Notamacropus eugenii: one gene and its partner. The protein of the gene in region 1 purifies or fractionates together with the protein of each later gene. This does not show direct contact. Links are inferred from orthologs where the notes say so. Each region holds a gene or a part of one and is shown on either strand. Other genes may lie near its edges.

Evidence for each region. Proteins that work in one complex are often made in the same cells at the same time.
Region 2: the proteins of SLC39A4 (region 1) and LEMD2 purify together in Homo sapiens (affinity purification with mass spectrometry; 3 studies listed by BioGRID and IntAct, counting the BioPlex papers as one, with this or other methods). This does not show direct contact. The link is inferred for Notamacropus eugenii from reciprocal best matches to the Homo sapiens genes SLC39A4 and LEMD2.

Annotation. Positions count from the first base shown.
Region 1 is NC_092875.1:86,830,838-86,840,436, reverse strand, and holds the start of SLC39A4 (zinc transporter ZIP4), read left to right. Parts: upstream 1-5,174; 5' UTR 5,175-5,309; coding exon 5,310-5,495; intron 5,496-7,653; coding exon 7,654-7,914; intron 7,915-8,674; coding exon 8,675-8,876; intron 8,877-9,330; coding exon 9,331-9,509; intron 9,510-9,599. UniProt on the Homo sapiens protein: Selective transporter that mediates the uptake of Zn(2+). Plays an essential role for dietary zinc uptake from small intestine. The Zn(2+) uniporter activity is regulated by zinc availability.
Region 2 is NC_092873.1:89,850,100-89,860,654, forward strand, and holds the start of LEMD2 (LEM domain-containing protein 2), read right to left. Parts: upstream 4,751-10,555; 5' UTR 4,701-4,750; coding exon 4,094-4,700; intron 892-4,093; coding exon 851-891; intron 1-850. UniProt on the Homo sapiens protein: Nuclear lamina-associated inner nuclear membrane protein that is involved in nuclear structure organization, maintenance of nuclear envelope (NE) integrity and NE reformation after mitosis.

The DNA of each region.
Region 1 (9,599 bases):
TATGTTATGGCATATTAATGGTAAAGAAAATATAGACATCTTAGGTCATAATTTCTATTGAACTTTGTTTACCCTTTCCTATGTCAGTTATCTGTTTAGGGCAGGAAGCCTGCCACTCACTAGCGGTGGGATTTCCTTCCTTGTCACCGAGACATATGTTTACCCAGCCTGGAATCGCAAGGCCTGACCAACATTACTTTGTTAATTGTCTTGTCTTACTAAATTTATGATTTGTTCAACTCGGAGAGTTCCTTTCTGACAGCAAAATGTATATAAGCCAGAAGATTTCTGACTCCATAATGGATTATGTTACGGTTGTCTTTAATAGGGAATTGATCAATTAATTAATTAAATCATAAAATGTATGCATTTAGCCTGTTGCCTTTTCTTTAACCAAGTTTTCAGGTCAACAGGAATAATGTTAGGTGATAGGTTCAATGTATAGGCTTAGGAATGTTCACATAATTAAGACTATATATGCATGTGAGCTAGCTGGAATAAACAGAGTTCTCACCACCTTGTCTCATACCTCATTTCATTACTCACCAAATCAAGGCCTTTTGCTGGACATGAGCCTTGGGTCGTGGTTTAGGGATTCCCGTAATGGTCTAGGGGACCCCAACACCCATAGACTTCCAGAGACTGGCAGAACAAATGGGAAGATTAGATCTGAGTAAAAAAGGCCAGATTAAGTGGGAAGATTCCAGGAGGCTCCCAGATTCCAAACCCCATCATTTCCACATTAATCATGTTGTGAAAGAAGAATCAGAACAAAAGGGAAAAACCAAGAGAAAAAAATTTTTTTTAAAAAGAGATAATAGCGTTGAGGTTCAGGGTGGTGGGGACCCCGAAATACTGACATGCCAGTTCCTGCTCGAATGAATTTGATGCAAACCTTCTTAAAGCCAAAGAAAAACAAAGTTTATTAAAGATTTGCCCTATTGGGTTGACTTTTAAGGAGTCTAAGCATTTGTAACGCAAGTAGGCCAGATAGAATCTCAGAGAGAGTCTGAGCTGGATTGAATTCAAGTGCTTTCATGAAGGCGAGATGGAACTTGAATACAGAAAAGGACTGTAGGAGGGATCTGGGGGTGGTCTGGTAGGCTAGGGTGATGGGAGGAGGAATTTAGGGAGGGTTTTGAGAAGTCCTAGGAGGAGGTCAATGGGAGTGGGGTGACTGGTCAAGGGTTAGAAACAGCTGGAGGCAAACAAGAGATATGGAACAATGGAGGGCTTGGGTGGGACGCAGGTGGGGCAATCCAGAGGTAACAGACAATGGAAGGCCAGGCTAGGCCAAGCGCCACAGATTTGAGTATGAAAGGCCACATTAAGTGGGAAGATTTCAGGGAAGTTCGAGGAGGTTCCCAGAGTCTGAACCCCATCAATAGTAGGTTTCGATCCTCATGCAGACTCCATAGTTCTTTCTCTGAATGTGGATAGCATTTTCCATCATGAGTCTTTTGGAATTGTCTTAAATCATAGTATTGCAGAGAAGAGCTAAGTCTATCGAAGCTGATTATCATACAGTCTTACAGTTACTGTGCACGATGTTCTGGTTCTGCTCACTTCTCTCAGCATCAGCTCATGGAAGTCTTTCCAGGTTTTTCTGAAATCTGCCAGCTCATCATTTCTTATAGAACAATAGTATTTCATAGGATTCCTACACCACAACTTGTTCTGTCATCCCCCAATTGATGGTCATCCCCTCAATTTCTAATTCTTTGCCACCACAAAAAGAACTACTATAAATATTTTTGTTCAAGTGGGCCCTTTTCCCTTTTTTTATGATCTCTTTGGGATCTAGACCTAGCAGTAGCATTGCTAGATCAAAGGGTCTTCATTTTGTTTACCTGTCTTGCGCAGGTAAGGTTAGGTTAAAGTTGCCTTGGTTTGCATTTCTCTGTTATTGCTCTCATAGATATGTTTCCAAATAGACGTTAAGCTTTTGAATGCACTATTGGCAGTTTTTTCCAGCAATTTTCTGTATCTTTAGGCATCAAAGGAAGATGAAAAAGGCTCAGGATTACCATAAAGGGCAGTTGCCAGTGAGTTACTTCTAACACTTTCTAGCACCCTTGGGCTTCTTTGGACATTTGCTCTTAATGACTGGAACTTTGGGAACTAAAACTGAAGTGTTGAATGGCTAGGAGTCAAATGGCCTTTCTAGAATTAATGTTCACCCAGCTGTGGACCAGAAAGATATGATATGTCCTCTCCCACACAAGATGGGGGAAGCTGAAGTATGATGAAAGTGCTTCTCTTTCCCCTGAGACTTTGATTATCACGGGGATGCTTCTCTCTAAAGGTCTTGGGGTATATGCAAGTCACTCTACCTGTTCCCTACGAGAATAGTGAGGCATCATGCCAAATAGTGTGGGGAAGCTTGCCTAGGTTTATCCTGTTGCCCAGATGTAATGGCTGTAGACACCAATAGTCTTAGTTCTTATGCAAACTAAGAGCCTTAGACTGGATTTGTTTCTGCAGTATCATTCATTGCTAAATAAATCATCTGCCCGTAACTCCTCAGTATCATTATTCCACCTTAACACCATAACAGTACCTAGAAGCAGCTTCTGGTAGGCTATTCTACTTGACTTAGAACAAGACAGTATCCCAGGACTTCCTCAGGGTGTATTTGGAGAGGGAATGGGGGTAAAAAAGTGGCTGATAAATGTGGACTACACCATTCCAACAATGCCTGTCTCCACCTGGAAGTATAGGGTGTCTAGTTGACTGGCTTATCTGAATTCTTGGAGCCAGAAACTGCTAAACAATGACTGACCCCACCTGATGACTTACCCCTTCTTCTGGCTGCTCTGGGGCCCAGACCTGCTGAGTTGGCTAAATAGCGTCTGATAAAATCTGGTGGGCAAAGGCCAGGGAGAGGCTGATAAGATGAGAGGGCTTGGCCAGAAGTATGCCAACTTTGACCCTTACCTTTCCAGCCCAACCTCCCCCTCCTTTGGACATAGTTTCCTTGAACCTTTGTCCTCTGTGAGCCTAGCTTCAAGCAACCACAGAGAAGTCTTAGACACTCTAGGGAAGGCACTGTCATTACTCTGGTAAAATAAAGGCTGTTTTCTGTTCCCTCCTCCCTGAGATCTACCACCATGCTCAATGTCCATGTATGTTAGAATTGGAAGGCACTCCCCCTCCCCCCGCAGGACACCTTATCCCTCATATCCTTTATTTCTCAATCTTCCCACATGCATGCCCATAAAAAGTATGGCTGTACTGGGACCTTATCTGTGGGACACAGGCTCCCAGTCAGGAAACTGGAGCAGGTGGACAGTAACTAACCATCAGCAATGAGCTTCTTGTCTTCCCTAGTCATGCCCCAGATCTCTGGCTCTGGCTCTGAGAAGCAGCACCAGCAGCAGTTTCTACCTTCCCTGGGTGACAGCAATACACTTGGAACCCCAGAACCTGTAATCAGCATCCCTGAACTCCCCCACTGATTGGCTCAGGTTCCTTGACCAGGCTTTGTGGAGTCTACCAAATCTCTCAGGACGCTGGCGATCTCTCCCTAACTGACCAGTCTAGGGCCCTGACTCAAAACTTCTACCCCATCCCTAGCCAGGGACCCCAGGAGCCCCTTTACTATTAACCTGCCCAAGAGTCCTAGCTTATCTCCTCTCCTCAAGTATACTGGAGAAGTACAAATGTGATAGGACAGGATGCATATCTGGGAAAGACTGGGAAAGATAACCCCTGAGGACAAAACCAGCACAATGGGTGGGAGCGGTAAAGCAGTAAAAATGGGGCTAAATAGCGGAATAAACTTCCAAATAAGGAGAGCTATCTAAATTTGGAAAGGACAAAATGGGTTTTCTCCTAGCAGGCGGTCTTCAAAAGAAAATTGAATGGCCACTTAGGTGTGTCATAAAGCGAATTCTTTTCAGATATTACAAGGTCTCGGAGGTCCCCTAGTAACAGTTCCTAACAACAAGTTCACCGACCTACCACACCCTACCCCCAAACTCTGGTATTTAGAATTGTGAAAGAGTGGAATGAAATGGCAAAATTCAGGAATTCTAGTTGCCACTCCCATACTGCTTCTACTCAGCCGAGAAAGAGTTTGGAGAAGGGGAAAGTGAGGGGAGGACAGGATGGAGGGGAAGTGTCTGCAGCTCCCTGCCCAGTGCTGGGAAACCCCCACGAATTGTGTGCTTTGGCTCCATGACAGCAAAAACCTTCTCTCCTCTAGTCACTCTCCTAGCCCAACCCTTTTCTCTTTCTATTTCCTCACCCAAACGTAGATCTGCTGCCAAGAGAATTTCTCAGATGTGACTCTGGAAGAAGGGAAGGGTAAAGGAGAATTCCAATTTTCCCCTGCCTTCCCCAAAGCATATGGCCCAGAGGACAGGAGGAAATTCAGGAAAGTTTGTTGCTCTCTCACCCTGTCTGGGCCAAGCCTGACTGGTCTAAGGAACCAAACTTTTAAAAACAAGACTATTTCTGTTTCTCTTTGTATTTTGTGTAAATCTGAGTTTGCCTATCCATATGTTTATGTAAATTTGTGTGTATCTTTGTATAATGTCTGCCTACCTGCATCAGTATCATGGTCTGATCAGAGTTGGATGAGCTCCTGGGTAGTCCAGGAAGGAGACCTTGAACCGTCCCCAGGCTTTCATGGCTTTCTGTAGATACAGGTGAGAGGAACAGATCTCACAGGACAAAGGGCTGCATAACAAGATATGGATCCAGAGGGGAAGGAAGGAAAGAAGAAAGGAAAAGGAGGAAGGGAGGGAGAAAGGAAAGAAAAGGAGAGGGGGGAGAGAGATATTGCATAGGGTCTTGGGCCTGGGAAATAATGCTGTAGGTCCATGAAACATAGTGGAAAGGGTAGGGACAAAAAGACTTAAAAGTTTAGGCCCCCTCAAAAAAGTGAAGCTGAGTTTTGGGAGAGGGAATGAGGCCATGGTGACTGGATAGTTCCGACTGTTCTATCTAGGGAGGATCAACTACTGGAATGGTTAACCTGGGGCCATCTGGGTGGCAGCCAATCACAGTGCCTGGCAGGAAATACCTACTTGGGAGATTCCCCAAGAATCCTACAGCTCAGCCCTGCCCTAGCCCAGGACTTCTTGTGGCTAGTTGCAGTACAGTCCTCTTATTTCTCCTCTTCCTGAGACCAAGATCTGCACGAGGGGGTCCCCACTCACCCGTTCAGCCAGGCCCGCAGAGATCCATAGCCCAGCCCTCCAAATCCCCACCTCTGCCTCCACCTCCAGGAAATCCTTTAGCACCATCCACCCCTCCCCAAACCTAACCTGACCCTTGTCAAGAATCTTCTGGAAACCTGAGCTATGCGGAGTGTGGTCTGTCTCTGGCTGGGGGTATGGCTGGGGATAGCCCTGGGGACTACCCCAAGACCTGCCAGTCTACTAAACGTGCTCACCTCCAACCAAAGTTCTTTGGACCAGGCTGCCCTGGGCTCCCTGTTAAATACACTGGCGGCCCGTGTGCAATGCCTAGATGAGCCGTGTGGAAAGGTAAGAGACAGCAAATAGCTTTAACCTCCCTCTGCTTACCCCACCCCTAACTAGTGCGGGGAGCAAAGGGGACAAATTCCAAGAGGGAGGGAGGGGAGAAGATAGGAGATGACAAGACTTAGGTGTCTTGGCAGGCAAGGGACAGCCAAGGAAGAAAAGGGGCCCTAGAGGGTCCACCTCAACCTATCACTTTTTACCAGTGCTCCAGGAGAGAGGAGGACCCAGGGACTGAGAGGGGGCTTAGCCTGGGATGGGAAGCTGAAATGGGGGACAGGGCAGAAAGGAGCCAGGCTTTTGCCATCCAATGCTACCTTAGGAAACGGGGGTGGGAAGAGCTGGTCATAGAGAGGGGTGGGCACACTTGGGCTGACCTTTATGGGAAAAGAGAGTAGCTTGTGCTCTACTAAGGCAGGAAAGTCTGGGGCCTGGGACACACTAGTGTCTCTTCTTTCCTTTCTTCCCCCTTTTTTCCTTCCCCCTCTTTTTCCTTTTTCCCTTGAGACTCCAGACTTCCCCCCAGGGCCCAATCCTCTCCCTAGGATTCTTAGCTGAGAGGCTTAAAGTCATCCTTCGGCCAGAAGTGGATGGTGCCTAGGGGCCAGTGACTGTTATGTTGTCCTCTCTCCCTCTCCTCTGAGTGAGAGGCTGCAATAAGTCTCCCATCTGTGTTCATGAGTAAATGGGAGAGCTGGCACTCGTGTGTGTGTGTGTGTGTGTGTGTGTGTGTGTGTGTGTGTGTGTGTGTGAAAGGGAGTGGGAGAGCACCCTTCCATCTTGTTCTGGAAGCTTCATGTGCGTTCATCCTTAATTGCCAAAGAAGACCATGGCTTCAGAGAAATGATGACATGACTTGCACATGACTTTGTTTTGAGTGAAGGAGGGTTGTGCAGTTCACCGGCCTCACTTCTCCTCCAGAGCCATCTGAATCCAGTGACCAGATATTCATCAGGATGACTGGAGATGACCCAGGATGAAGCAATTGGGGTTAAGTGACTTGCCCAAGGTCCCACAGCTAGTGAGTGTCAAGTGTCTGAGGTGAGATTTGAACTCAGGTCCTCCTGACTCCTGCCCTGGTGCTCTATCCACTGCTCCACCTAGCTGCCCCAACAGGAAGCTTCATATGTGTAAGAGGAAGACATGGCTCCTCTGTACAGGGGTGGTCAACAGAGCTCTGAGTACTTTGTGTGAGAGAGTACTTTATGTCTGTGGGACAGGGAAAGATAGAGGCAGAGGGAACAGCACTCCCGGAGTCTACAATGGGACTTCCCACCTGTAGGGCCAGGGGGCTTTCCTTCCTTTCTGTTGTTTTTTTAGTTTGTGAGCAGGGGTCACCTAGGTGGTGCAGTGGATAGAGCACCAGGGCAGGAGTCAGGAGGACCTGAGTTCAAATCTCACCTCAGACACTTGACACTCACTAGCTGTGGGACCTTGGGCAAATCACTTAACCCCAATTGCTTCATCCTGGGTCATCTCCAGTCATCCTGATGAATATCTGGTCACTGGATTCAGATGGCTCTGGAGGAGAAGTGAGGCTGGTGAACTGCACAGCCCTCCGTCGCTCAAAACCAAGTCAAGTGCAAGTCATGTCATCATTTCTCTGATGGCGTGGTCTTCTTTGGCAACAAAGGACGAACATACACTAGAGTTTGTGAGCACAGGGGCACACAATCTCACTTCCTGACTCAATGCCTGGAAGTGCATGTGTCCCATGCTGTGGCCTCATCCTGGAGGCCCTGGGGTTGGTGTTAAGGCTTGGAATAACTGGGTGTAGCTTAGAGCCACTGGAATGGTGGGGGCAGGATGTGGGGGATGGGTAAGACAAGGATTCCCAGGAAAGGAAAGGATAGGGCTAACCCAGGGGAGCACTGGAGATTTCTTCCTCTGAGGTGGGGCAGTGGACAGAGAGCTGGGCCTGGAGTCAGGAGTCCAAATACCACCTCAGATACTTGTTAACTGCCTGACCCTGGGTAGGCTACTCAATCTCTTTCTGTCTCAGTTTCCTCAACTGTATAATGGGGATAATAATAACACCTACCTTACAGGGTTGTTGTGAAGACCAACTGAGAAAGTATTTGTAAAAATGGCTATTGAAATGCTTATTTCCCAAACTCCCCTGATTACTCCCCTAACTTCTAGGACTGACTTTTTGTGCCTGCAGTGCATGACAGTGGAGAATGCCCTGGCCCTGGCTGGGCAGGGTGGGATTCTGAGTTCCCAGAATGTGACCCAGTTCTGTGCAGGAATCGCTCTCTACCTCCGGGATCCAGAGAGCACTTGTGCTGCTATCCAGGCTGGCAGCTGGGGCTCACAGGCAGAGAGCTTCCTGGCTTCCTTGGCCTCTGCTGGGGTCCATTACCCCAACATCCTGAACCAACTTCTTCAGCAGATCCAAAGGCACTACCAAGGAGAGCCAGGCCAGGTGAGGGCAGTGTTGTGACAGGGGGAAAGCACAAGGCATATGGAAGGGAAGAGCTCTGTGCTCTTGGGAATGTCTCTTTCCTTCTCTCTGGACCTCAATTCCATCATTTTTAAACTGGGTGGGTTGGGAAGGGAGGTTGGACTCTGAGCTCAGGGGCTTGGACTATCCTGTAGGCAGTGGGGAGCTGTTAAAGGTTTTAAAGGAGGGACAAGATGATCTGAAAGGTGCTAGCAGCTCTAAATCCTGATGCTGTGTGCAGTGGGAAGAGTGGTCTTCAAGTTCTGCAAAGGTGGATTTGGAGAGGGAAGGGCCTGGAGGCTGGTTGGAAGTCTAGGCCCAAGGTCTAAGGCTTGAACTAAGGAAGTAGCAGTGTGAATCAAGAGGATGGACTTGAGGACTGAATGCATATGGAAGCTCAGAGAGAAGGGGGTTGAGTTTAAACCCTGGGTGATTAGGTCCATGATGCCAGAGGAAGAGTTACAGGGGGAGAGGTAAGAAACAAGCTGAGTTAGGGATATGTATGTGAAGTTGGATATCTTGATGGAGATGATCTCTAGGCCACTGGAGGTGTGGGCCTGGAGCTCATGAGAGAAGTCAGGGCTGGAAATGTGTATGTGGGGGCCATCTGCCTTCCCTCATTCCCACCCTCAACCCCCCACATAAGTAATGGGGTGCCACCACCACCCCAGGAGGGTGGTGAGGAGAAGAGGTAAGTGAGCTGGGGTGAGGAGGGGCCTGAGTGTTGATCTCTGATTCTCAGAGTTGTGTGGACATACACCAGATTTTGGAGGAAGCAGCAGGAGCCCAGGGAACTGAGAGCCAAGGTCCAAGCCAGGCTCTGGCTGCCCTCCTGGACCATGCCATAGCTGGGTCCTGCTTCCATGTCCTGCCCAGTCCCCAGTACTTCATTGATTTCGTCTTCCGACTTCATAGCAATGAGTCACGGAACCTCACTCTCTCTGGTAAGGAGTAGGGGGTTGAGACTAGAGATGAAAGGGAAAGATGGATCTCAGAGTAGGGCAGTCTTCAGATGGGCTCCCTTTAGGGAAGGCTTCACTTGACCTCTGAGTAGAGAAGGGTTTGGACTCAGGAAAAGGGAAGACTCATGGGAGAAATGCCCTAAAGGGGAAAAAGTGGAATAACAGGTTTAGGAATAGATCCATGAAGGGCTAAAGAATCCAACATATCCCAGTCAATGTCCATTTCAGTTCCTGTTACACACGTATCTCTCCACCTTTCTCTCCCTCCCTCCCAATCCTTGGACATGACCACCATGTGACAAGAGCACTGTGCTCAGTCCAGATCCTCCTGGAGAAGTGGGCCAGTCCTGGAAGGCTTCCTAAAGGCAGAGGCTGTTGAGGTGGTGGTGGGGGGCAGAGAAGAAGTTAACAGCAGCACCCTGCTTTCCCTACCCAGAGTTGCAGGCTCTGATGAGCCAGCTGCAAGTGGGGACAGAGGCTGAGGTCCATCCCCATGACAGTGATGAAGAACACCAGCACTATCACACACAGTACAGCCTGGAAGGGAGGGCAAGCCACCAGCTGAGGACTCCTCAACAGGCCCAAGTGGAGGACTCTGACAGCGTATGGGACACAGTAAGTCAGGAGGAAGGGGAGAGGGAGAAGAGAGGAAAACAGTGGAGGAAGTTAACCTACTTTCCCCCCTGCTGCCTAATTCCATTCCCC
Region 2 (10,555 bases), on another chromosome or scaffold:
TGCACTACAATTCAAAAGCATCACCTACTGTATCGTTTTTTTCCAAACTCCTAACTGCCGGAGATCTGGTGTCCTAAGGATGCTCGGGCATTACATACTTAAGAATTAGAGTACTGCCCTCTGGCAGTATGAAAGCTTCTTCTGGTAGAATTTATGACCTGAGAATTTATTACCCTGTATCTTTCCCACACAACTGCCAAGACCAGAGCATCACTTCTACTCTCTAATGCTGTTTTCATGACTCATAAATAGATGTAGTTACTTGCTTTCCCCAAATATTATTTGTAGGGCACGTTGGCACTTCATAAACAAATCTGAAGACAGACTAAGAGGGCTAATTCCATTGAAGTGGCATCTGAGAAAATGAAATTCATAATGCCAAAAATCAAGGCACATTTCAAGGGTCCACAGTCCACTCCTGGAGACTCTTGCTGGGAATGGGACAGATAATGAATTGGAAAGCAGGCTTCCTGAAGATTAAAATCAGCCATCCTTTCCCCTCAGTCAGGAAGGTGTCTCTACAGGTCCTTTGCAAACAACCCACCATATTTCCCAGGAATCATCTTAGGAGTAGACAGATCAAAGTTACTGATGTTGCAACTGATGGAAGAGCTTTTCTAACAGGACAGGTGCTGGATCTTTAGGGGCTCAATTCTGTGCATTTCAGATTCTCCTACATGGCTACAATTGAGTCTGACATGAACATCACAGACTACTATTTGATTTTGGTACATTACTGAAAATACTCCCTGAAAATGATCCTATTATGAGCTTTTTCTGGGGAAGTTTACCTCTCTAGAGAGGGCTGCATCCTCAGGAGAAATAATAAAGAGCTAGGAAACAAACTCACCGCATCTGTTTTCCTCTCACAGTCCACCGGCAACAATTTCACTAAGATCAAAAAGGAAACAGACAAGAAGTTAAAAGGGTGGCCAGTTGGGAAAAGAATTTAAGCCCTGAGACTCATGGTGAGCAGAATCTGATTGGCACTAGGAGATACAAACATGCTTCCTAGGTCAGATGTGGTTTTAAATGCCCAGTCAAATATATCCTTACATATTTGCTAGTAGGGAAAACCCATTGCTTCATTTGTAAGGCTGGCTACTTTGTATCCTTTATTTACAAATGTTTCTGTATCAAAGTTAATAGGACTTTGGGTCTGAAATCTTCCTCATGCTCAAAAGGCCTTAGTGTTTCTTGGCAATGATGCACAGCTGCCTACAACACAAGCCTCTCAGAGCTAGAAGGGACCATTTGATTCCAACTCCCTCATTATACAGGTGGGGAAACTGAGCCTTAGAGATATCAGGCTTCATACCACCAGCTTGACAGAGTACAGGGGAACCAAAGTTACAAAGAATCAGTTGAATTTGGGTCAGCTTCAGTTCTCCTGACAGGTCATTCCACTGCTAATCCTACCCAACGGGCATATCCCAGTCTACACATGTGTATTTCTTGGTCTGCTTTTAGACCAAACACTTTTTCAACTCATTCTTTTATCTTATATTCTAAATCAATTTGCATGGATACACCCAGGCAAATTTATGGCACCAGTTAAGGGGCAATTTGATTTTTTAAAGTTTATTTGAGGAACTTCTTGAGCTTCTCATAAAATGGTAAAGACAGCCTAAGCTTGTTCTTGGATACAGTCAATATTAATCAGGCAGAATTAGTTATCATGTTCTGCAGAAAATATTGAAAGTTGATAAATTATTTGATGTGTCACTTCACACTTACACTTATAAGGAAATAATATGTACATATGTGCATAATATCTCATTTCCTTTTAAGACTAAGACCTAGAGAAAAATATGGCAAATTTCTCTAGGAAAACACATGCAAATGCTCCATTCATCTTGTGGAGGAAATATTGAAATCTACATGACCTCCCCAGTTTGAGTCTGAGTGAAAATACTAGAACAGGGCATTACAGATGATAAAGGCCAGAATTTTCTTGACAATCAGTAACAGCTCAATAGAGGAAAAATAAATTGCTTTTGTGTATATAGAATTACATACAGGCATGAGACAAGCATAATTGGGAATTTTTTCTAAGTCATAGAATTAGGATATTAAAACAGGAGTGGGTGAGGAAAAGGAGGATGAGGAATAACAATAATCATTTACTGTAATCTTAACTATTAACTAACATTGTCATATGCCATTTAATTTAAAAAGTGAATTCCTCACAAAAACTCTGAGATAGTATATTTATCTCCATTTTCCAGATAAGGCAGGTGACTCGCCCACAGTCACATGGCTAGTTAAATGTAGAAGCCAGAACACAAATCCAGATGCTCTTTCTATGATACCATATGCATTCCTTTACACTTGTAACTTTACAAAGTACCTTCACATTTGCCATAGGCTAGCTGTGTGACCTTGGAAAATCACTCCCCATATTGGGGTCTGATTTCTCCTCTGTAAATCTAGAAAGTAGGAGTAGATGACCTCTGTGGCCCCCTCCAGCTCTCACATCTGATGATTCTAATGCCCTCTTAGTGATTTGAGGCATGTATTAACATCTCCACTGGACAGTAAGAAAATGGAAGTCACAGAGCTGAGTTAGTGGTATTGCCCTGAGCATTAGACGCAGATCACCTCACTTGGGAGAAGTGGTAAGGGAAGGACACAGTAGCCCAAGGCTACCACTATGAGCAACACTGTGTTTATGATTACCAGGGGGAAAACAGGTTAAAGACTGGGCAAGCTTGTTCTCTAGGGAGGGCTCTCCACTAGACAGGGAGTGAGAATCCAGGAAAGGGAGAGATTGAGGGTTAAGAGATTGAGGATAATGAAGTGTGTTACTAGGGGAAAGAACCTACCACTATTCTATTTAGCATCCTATTAGCAGGACTAGCTTCCTTAATCCCCTACTCCAGGAGCCCAGACAGTAGAGAACTGAGGACCATAACAAAGGAACACAGGCCCCTAACTCTGGCCCAGCATGTGGTAGAAGCAGGAATTAGGGGTAGAAATGACTAATGAAGACTTCCCCATCTCAAGAGCTGGAAAGACAGCAGCCAAAAAAAAAAAAACCAACCAAACTGAAAAGTTGAGAGCCCCATAGATAAGGAAAGAGGATAAATTATGAATCCTTTTCCACAGTAGCTGGTGACAGGGAGAATTTGGGCCAGTGAGAAAAGATTTGTTTTTTTCTCTCTCCTCCTCCACAGCAGCTAGTAGGGAGAGTAGGATGGTTATGAAAGTTTTATGGGCCTAGAGTTAAGAATTTCCAAGAACTACAATTCCTCTTGTACCCTCTCTGGACCTTTGGTGACTGGAGCCCTGGTTACAAGCATGGGGGTGGGAGGAAGGTTGAGAATTTAAATGAATGAAAATGAGAAAAGCTGTCTTCTTTCTCCTAACAGGTTGTGGAAGAGAATTAGTGGGAGTGTGGAGTTACTGGGCTGGAGATCAAAAGGAACACATTTCCCCTGGCCTCTCTGGTAGTGGGTATAGGAGAGGATGGTAGGCAGGGAGCTGGGACAGATAGATTTAGGAGAGATGAGAAACCCTGGCTCAGGTTCCTAATATGTAAAATGAGAGAGCTGAACAAGAAGACTTCAAAGGTCCCTTCCAGTTCTAAGACTCTAAGAACAGCCTGTAATGGGAAACTGCTGGATTTGGAGTCCGATGACCTGGGGTTCATATGCCAGCTCGGTCACTTATTAACTCTGTGACTTTAAGTCACTTACCTCTTAGGTTTATAGATTTAGGGCAGGAAGGGACCGACCTTAGAAGGTCACCTAGCCCATCCCCCTCATTTGACAGTTAGGAAAGGGAGACTCAGCAGAGCTGTGACTGTCCCAAAGTCACAGATGTAGCAAGTGGCCAAGGCGGCCCCAGGGGGGGTCTCTGACCCCAAATCCTGCACTCCCCACCGCACCAAGGTGCCCTCTCTGGGCTTCAGTTTTCTTCATCTGTCAAAGGAGGGGGCTGCCAGGTGGCAGTCTACGGTCCGTCCGGCGCGAAATCGTGGGAAAGAGAGGGGAAGGGGAGGTTGGATAGGGGGCTCCGGCCCCAGCGGCTGGGGGAGGGGAGGAGGGCGGCAGGTGAAGGAGGGAGGGGGCAGGACGGGGCGGCCACGTACTGTTCTCCTCCGCCTCCTGTGGCCGGGAGGGCCCCCCCATCTTCACCCACAGGATGCCCAGGAAGACGAGCAGAAGCGCCAGGCTGGCCCAGCACAGGAGGCGCGACAGCCAGCGCTCCAGCCGCCGCCCCACCTCCGGCCTGGGCCGGGGCCGGGGCCGGAGGCCCCCGTACGCAGCCGGGCTGCGGGCCGGGGCCGAAGCCGGGGCCCACCAGCGGCGGGAGCCGGCGCTCGGGGCGGGCCGCTCGTCCTCCTCGGAGCTGTCCCGCTCCCGCTCCCGCTCTCGGCCGGGGCGCCAGGAGAAAGTGTTGCGGGCCCCCGAGGCTGCGTGGTGGATGCTCGGACGGCTCCCGGCCCAGGATGCGGAGGAGGAGGGGGCGGAGGTGGCCCCGAGCCCCGGGCGAGCGCCCGGCCCCAAGCCCAGGCCCGGGCGGGCCGCCTCAGGCCGCAGCAGCCCGGCGCCGGGCCTCGCGCGCAGCCGGGCCTCGCCTCGCAGCCGCTGAAGCTTGTTGAGGTAGACGTCCCGGGTGGTGTCGGTGATAGGCCCGGGCTCGAAGCCCAGGGCCTGCAGCTCCCGCCGCAGCTCGAGGTCCGACCGCCCGGCCATAGCCGCGCAGCCGCTGCCGCCGCACCCGCGCGCCCACCCCCGGAACTGCTCCCGCCGCTGCCGGAGCCCGAGCCGGGCCCGGGCGGGGAGGGGCGGGGCGGCCCGCGGCGGCAGCCATGCTGGGGAGGTCAGCCGCCATCTTGGGGCGGTCCGGACAAGGCTGGGGAAGGGACCGCCATGTTGAGAAGGTCTAGTCGAGTCTGATTGGACGTTCGAGGAGTATGTTTAATCCCCTCGGTGCACGCGGACGCCATGTTGTGGAGGTCCGCTTCCCTGTACAAGGTGGAACTGCCATGTTGGGGAGGTCACTGACGTTTCCCTGGCCTGGATTTCGATTTGACGGGTCCCTACCGCACAGTGGGCGGAACCAACCAGTTCTTTGTACGCTTGAGGGAATTAGGCTTAGGGAGGTTAGGTGATGCGTCCAAGGCCACACAGCCAACAAGTGGCAGAGCTTGAGTCAGGTCCAGGACTGTCTGTCTTAGCAGCCAGATCTGTTCAGAATTGTGTCCTTGGGGAGGTGGGGGACAAGTTGCACCCCCTCCTTCTCTTCCCTTTGGGGGACCGTCATCCATCCCACCAACCATCCAGTCAGCGATCATATGAGAAATATATGTATGAACACAAAGATGAATCTGCCACTGAAGCCCTGCTGTGGCATGGAGGTGACCTTGGGAGCAGGCTGTGCCAGCAGGGCATGCGGTAAGGCAGGTCTTGTCCCACTTGGCCTTGGAGGTGATGGAGGCCAGCGATGGACTTCCCCGGGGGCCCAGGCCCTGGCATTTGCCTGAGTGGTCCAGCCCACTCAAGTGTAACCCTTTCCACTGTCCTTTCACTGTGGCCCTCCCGCCCAGCCCAGCCTTCCACTGTCTGCCCCTGGTAGGAGGCTACTTGCCCCTCCTTCATCCCATGCAGATTTTCTCACAGTCTTTCTGTATAAAAGTACCAAGATTCTTAGAATTTGCACAGTTTAATGGAGGTTTTGAAAGGACTATGGGCTGGGGGACTGGGCTGTGTGGGAAAATCCTGGGGTTTTTAAGGGGATATCATTAGTGCCCCATCAAAGGGACATCAGGGGGCATCCTGCACTCACTAGCTTTGGAGGTATTCATCACTGCCAGAGGCAGGGCTGTCTCCTGCGACTCTTGGAACCAAAGACTTAGAGCATCTACTAATGTTTCATTTCACCAATAAAACAAAAACAAAAGAAAAAAAAACTGAGAGGATCCTCTGATTCTGTTAAGTGACTTCTCCAAGGTCAATCAGTAAGTAGCAGAACAAAGATTTAAACTAAAGTTTCCTAATTCTAAATCAAAGACTTGCCCATTATACCATGCTGCATAAGGACTATCTACTAAAAAGGCATTTGGAGTAATACACTTTCCTTGAGTTTTCTGGGTTTGAATCCTGGCTCAGACCTAGCTGTATGACTCCCTCAGGCAAAGTATTTAACCTTTCTGGGCTTTTTTTTTCTCATTGATAAAATTAGAAGGTTGAACTTTATTACCTCTGCATTCTCTTCCAGCTCTGAATCAGTGATCTATGACCTTTCTCTGTAAAATGAGGGGTGAGGATTAGGTGACTTTTTAAGACCCCTTTGGGATCAAAATCCTGTTCTCCAGCTCTCCTTCCATTTTCCTCATCACCCTTTTCATTCCACTCATCTCCTTCTGTTCCCCACCCCCACCCCCTTCCCCTTCAATCCCATTATATTCTCTCCTTCCCCCCTCCTTATCCTATCATTCAGCACCATGGGCAGGGAACCTGGAGTAGATGCTTTATATTCGTGCTACTTTGAGTACCACAGGGGCACTCCAACACTGGTCACAACTGCAGAGAAAATTACAGTCTTAGGCTGGTCAGGCTTCTGTTGTTAGCTTCCAAATCTCTCCTGACTTAGCCGCTCCCATGTGGTGTGATTTCTCTCACCAAGTGTTGTTTTCCTTTTCTCCGCCTGTGTTTGTATGGAATGCCATGAATTTGATATAGTGATTGCCTAACACATATACCACATAATAGTATTCTATTTCTTTCCAAAGCACTGTTTGCATGACAAATGAGTTGGTAACATTTATGCAATTCCTTGAAGCTGTGCAGTTCAGTGTATAAAGAATGAGCTTTTGGGGTATCATACTAGCCCTGTGTATTGTAAGGGCATGAGACTGATGGCTTAAGCAAAGTTAACAAACAGCAGTTGGCAGAATGATGGCATCTGTCTTCAGAGAAGCTTTCAGTATGCCTAAGTAAATAAATAAATAAACAGATGCTGTGCCTGAGCCACTCCCCCAGGGCATACAGTGTTGCTTTCTTGCATTTGAGGATGCTGACTTGTACAAGCAACCCAAGAGACACATGATCCGAAGACCTTTCTGGACTGACTATAAAGATTCCCTCACTGACAAGAGCCCTGCAGTTACTACAGGTGAACCTGAGAACTTTTTGAACTCCCTCTTCACCATATGTGGCTTTGTTACTTTTCTCTCCAGATCAATGCAGCCCTGACCCAGGTGCTCATAGCCCTGCCACGTTGTTTCAGATTTTATTTTATCATATGGCTCAATTCAAGCTAAAACAATTTATTAAACACATGTGCAAAGCACTGTGTTAAAGCTGGGAATACATAAATAGATATATTGGGAATTTCATTTAAGGAGCTTACATTCTGCTGGAGGGCAGGGGAAGGTATATACCCAAATAACTATGATAGTGGGATCATAGGGTCATAGATTTAGAGTTAGATCAGGTGGGCATCCTCTCCCCTCCTTCCCCCATGTGTAAACTCAGATCCAGTGAGATTTAATGACTTTTCTAATGTCCGAGCTAAATGTGGCAGAATATGAATCAGAACCTTTGATTCCAAAACCAATGCACTTTTTATGATCTGGTGAGACAAATACAAAGGACTAGTCCTATCAAAATTCTATAATAAATTTGAGGCAATTTGAGCTATCACCTTCACCTGAGGATATCAGAGAAAGCTTCTTGAAGGAGGTGGTAACTAAGTTGAACCTTGAATCGAGGGACTTCAGTAGATAGAAATGTAGGTGTGTGGAAGTGCATTACTTGAGTAGGGGGGAGGTTGGGATGGGACAGTAGAAGACTGGAGAGTCAGATTGTAAATTTAGAACTAGAAGGGATCTCAGAAGCCATTGTAATTCAACCCCCACATTTTACAAATGAGGAAACTGAGGCCCAGGGAAGTTAAATGGCTTGCATGAAGTTGCACAGGTAGTAAGCATCAGAGGTAGAATTTCAACCCAGATCCTCTGAATTCAGAGCCAGTACTCTTTTCCACACTGCCTCCCAAAGTACATAAAAGGGAGCTAGTAGGAAATAAAAATAGGTTGGAGCTAGATTCAAGGACCAGGATTTTATATTTATTCAGTAGGTAGTGGTGAGTTTACTGAAGGTTTTTCCATAGAAGAGTCACACATTAAGAAATTTGCCTGGACAACTACATGAAATTGAAGAGGTAAAAGTTGAGTCCAGGAGACCAAGTTGGAGGCTCAACCAATTTGGAGGTTCTCAGGGAATGAACGAAGATGGTGGCAATGAGAGTGGGAAGGAGGGACTGAGATAGGAGAATGCAGAAGTAGAATGAAAAGGCCTTGATAATGTTCAAGTATATGATGTGAGAGAGACGGAGGAGTATTGCATAAGTACAAGAGAGAGAGAAATTGGGGAGGGGTAATGATCCCTCTGGGGAACTAACAGAGACAAAGAAAGTGCTTCTTAACCTATATTAGTTATCATCCTGCCGCCTGACCTAGTCTTTTCTTCTTCACAGTTCCCTTAAAGAAGGTGGTTATTTTAGGTTTACTACTTTTTTTGTTTAATCCCTCCTTTCTTCAAAAAGGAAGATCAAAAGTCAATGTTTTACCCTACTTCTGCCCTGCCCCTATACTTAACATTTTTCTCATGAACTTGTGCTCTGACCTTGTACATTCTCTGACTTGGAAATACCTCCCCAGTCCTAAATAACATTGGCATGTCCCCAAGGCTCCCTTTAGCCATTTTACTAAGTCAATCAATGTGTTTCATGCTGCTTTCCTTGATCTAACCATCAGAACACTTCATTCACATCTTTCCAAGTCTCATTACACCTGTTTTGCTGGAGGAACTGAACTCTGGCTTCCAGTGTGCTTGGTAATTCTGAAAGTATCAACGTTTCCCCTCAGTATGGTCTTTCTTGCCATAGCCCATTGTCAGAAGCAGTACAAGGATTTTCAGGGGTTCTTGGAACCTGGTTTCTGATGTCTGCAATATTAGTTTAGTGCATGGGCCTATCTTTGATGTTAATGCATATTTTAAGACAAATGAAGCTCTTGCAAAGTCACAAGTTATCATCCTCTCTGCCCTCCTTTTTCATTCACTTTAGTGTGTGTGTGTGTGTGTGTGTGTGTGTGTGTGTGTCTATGTTTTTCAGGTGAACCACTCAGGCCAGGGCAGGTCTTCCTGATTTATTAAAGGCAGAAATGGGAAAACAAACTTCAGTTTCTTAATCTACTTAGCAACCACATGCACACATTTAACAGAGGTGAAAGGTTTCTTAAAGAAGACTCCAGTGATCCTTGAGGAATGCAATGCTAACTTCTCTTAAGCTGACCTCTATCCAGCACAGCATAACCTTATAATAATATTGCCCATCAATTTTTTAGCAAGTTATACTCTCCCTCTTTTCCTCTGAAAATACTTAGAGATTCATCCGTTCCACAGAGATTTCAAGTGCAATGATTGCCTAGGGAGTCCTTTCCTTGGAATATCTAACCATTCCTTTGGCCTTCTCAACCTGGAACATACCCTCTGCCCTCTTCTCCCATTGATAAGTTTCTCCTCTTTCTAACATTTTGTTGAGGGGCCCCAAACCATCCTTCATTCTTCTGGCCATGTTCCTGACTGGTTTTCAAAACCATGCCCCATACCAGGTAACTCCATCTCCCTCCCTCCCCTTCTCCCTTCTCAGCTCCCTTTTTGTGTGTTGTCTTCCCACTTTAGATTGTGAGCTCCTTGAGGCCAGGACTGGCTTTCTTTTTGCTTGTATTTGAATTCCCAGTGCTTAGCCCAGTGCCTGGTACACAGCGAGTATTTAATAAATGCCTTTTTCCTTCTTTCCTCTATCTTTCTGTTCTGTACTAAAATGTATCTTGAGTAGCTGTAGGGAAGTTGTTGCTGGAGACTCAGGAATGTAAGAGTGCTGAGTGTCCTTTCTGGGGAACAAGACTGAGTCTGGGTGAACATGGGATTTGGAGTGTGAGGGGCTAAATTTAGCTGCAGCTCCATCATTTTTATACTTGTGTGATCTTGGACAAGACCTTTAACCTCTCTGGGCTGCAGTGACTTCACCTTTAAAATGAGAGGATTGAAATAGATGACTTTTGAGGTCCCTTTCAGCTCTTGATCTGTGATCTGATGACCTCTGTAAAATTCCCTAGTCTTTATTTGTGGGGCTTTATGTGTGTTGTACCATGAGGAAACAATGTGATTTTGAAGTTGGAGGAAGCAATGAAAATCTTTTCATTTGACAGCTTTTGATTTATAATGAGGACCTGGGAGGTTTATTACCTTAGCCCTCACTTTAACTCTGTGTTAAATTTCCATTCGTTCATTTACTCATTCATTCAACAAGCATGCATTCAGGTCCTATTCAGGTTCTAGGGGGTCATAAAAATTTAGATAAGAGGGGCTTTCTTTCCTTTTGGAACTTTTGGTTTAGTTGGGGCATAAGACACGAGGCAAGTAACTGTAATATACGATGAGCACTTTTTAGTTGTTTCTCTTGACTAAAGTATGCAATTATTACATATGATGATAGCTTGCTTTTATATGCTGCTTTAAGGTTTACAAAGCTCTTTAGC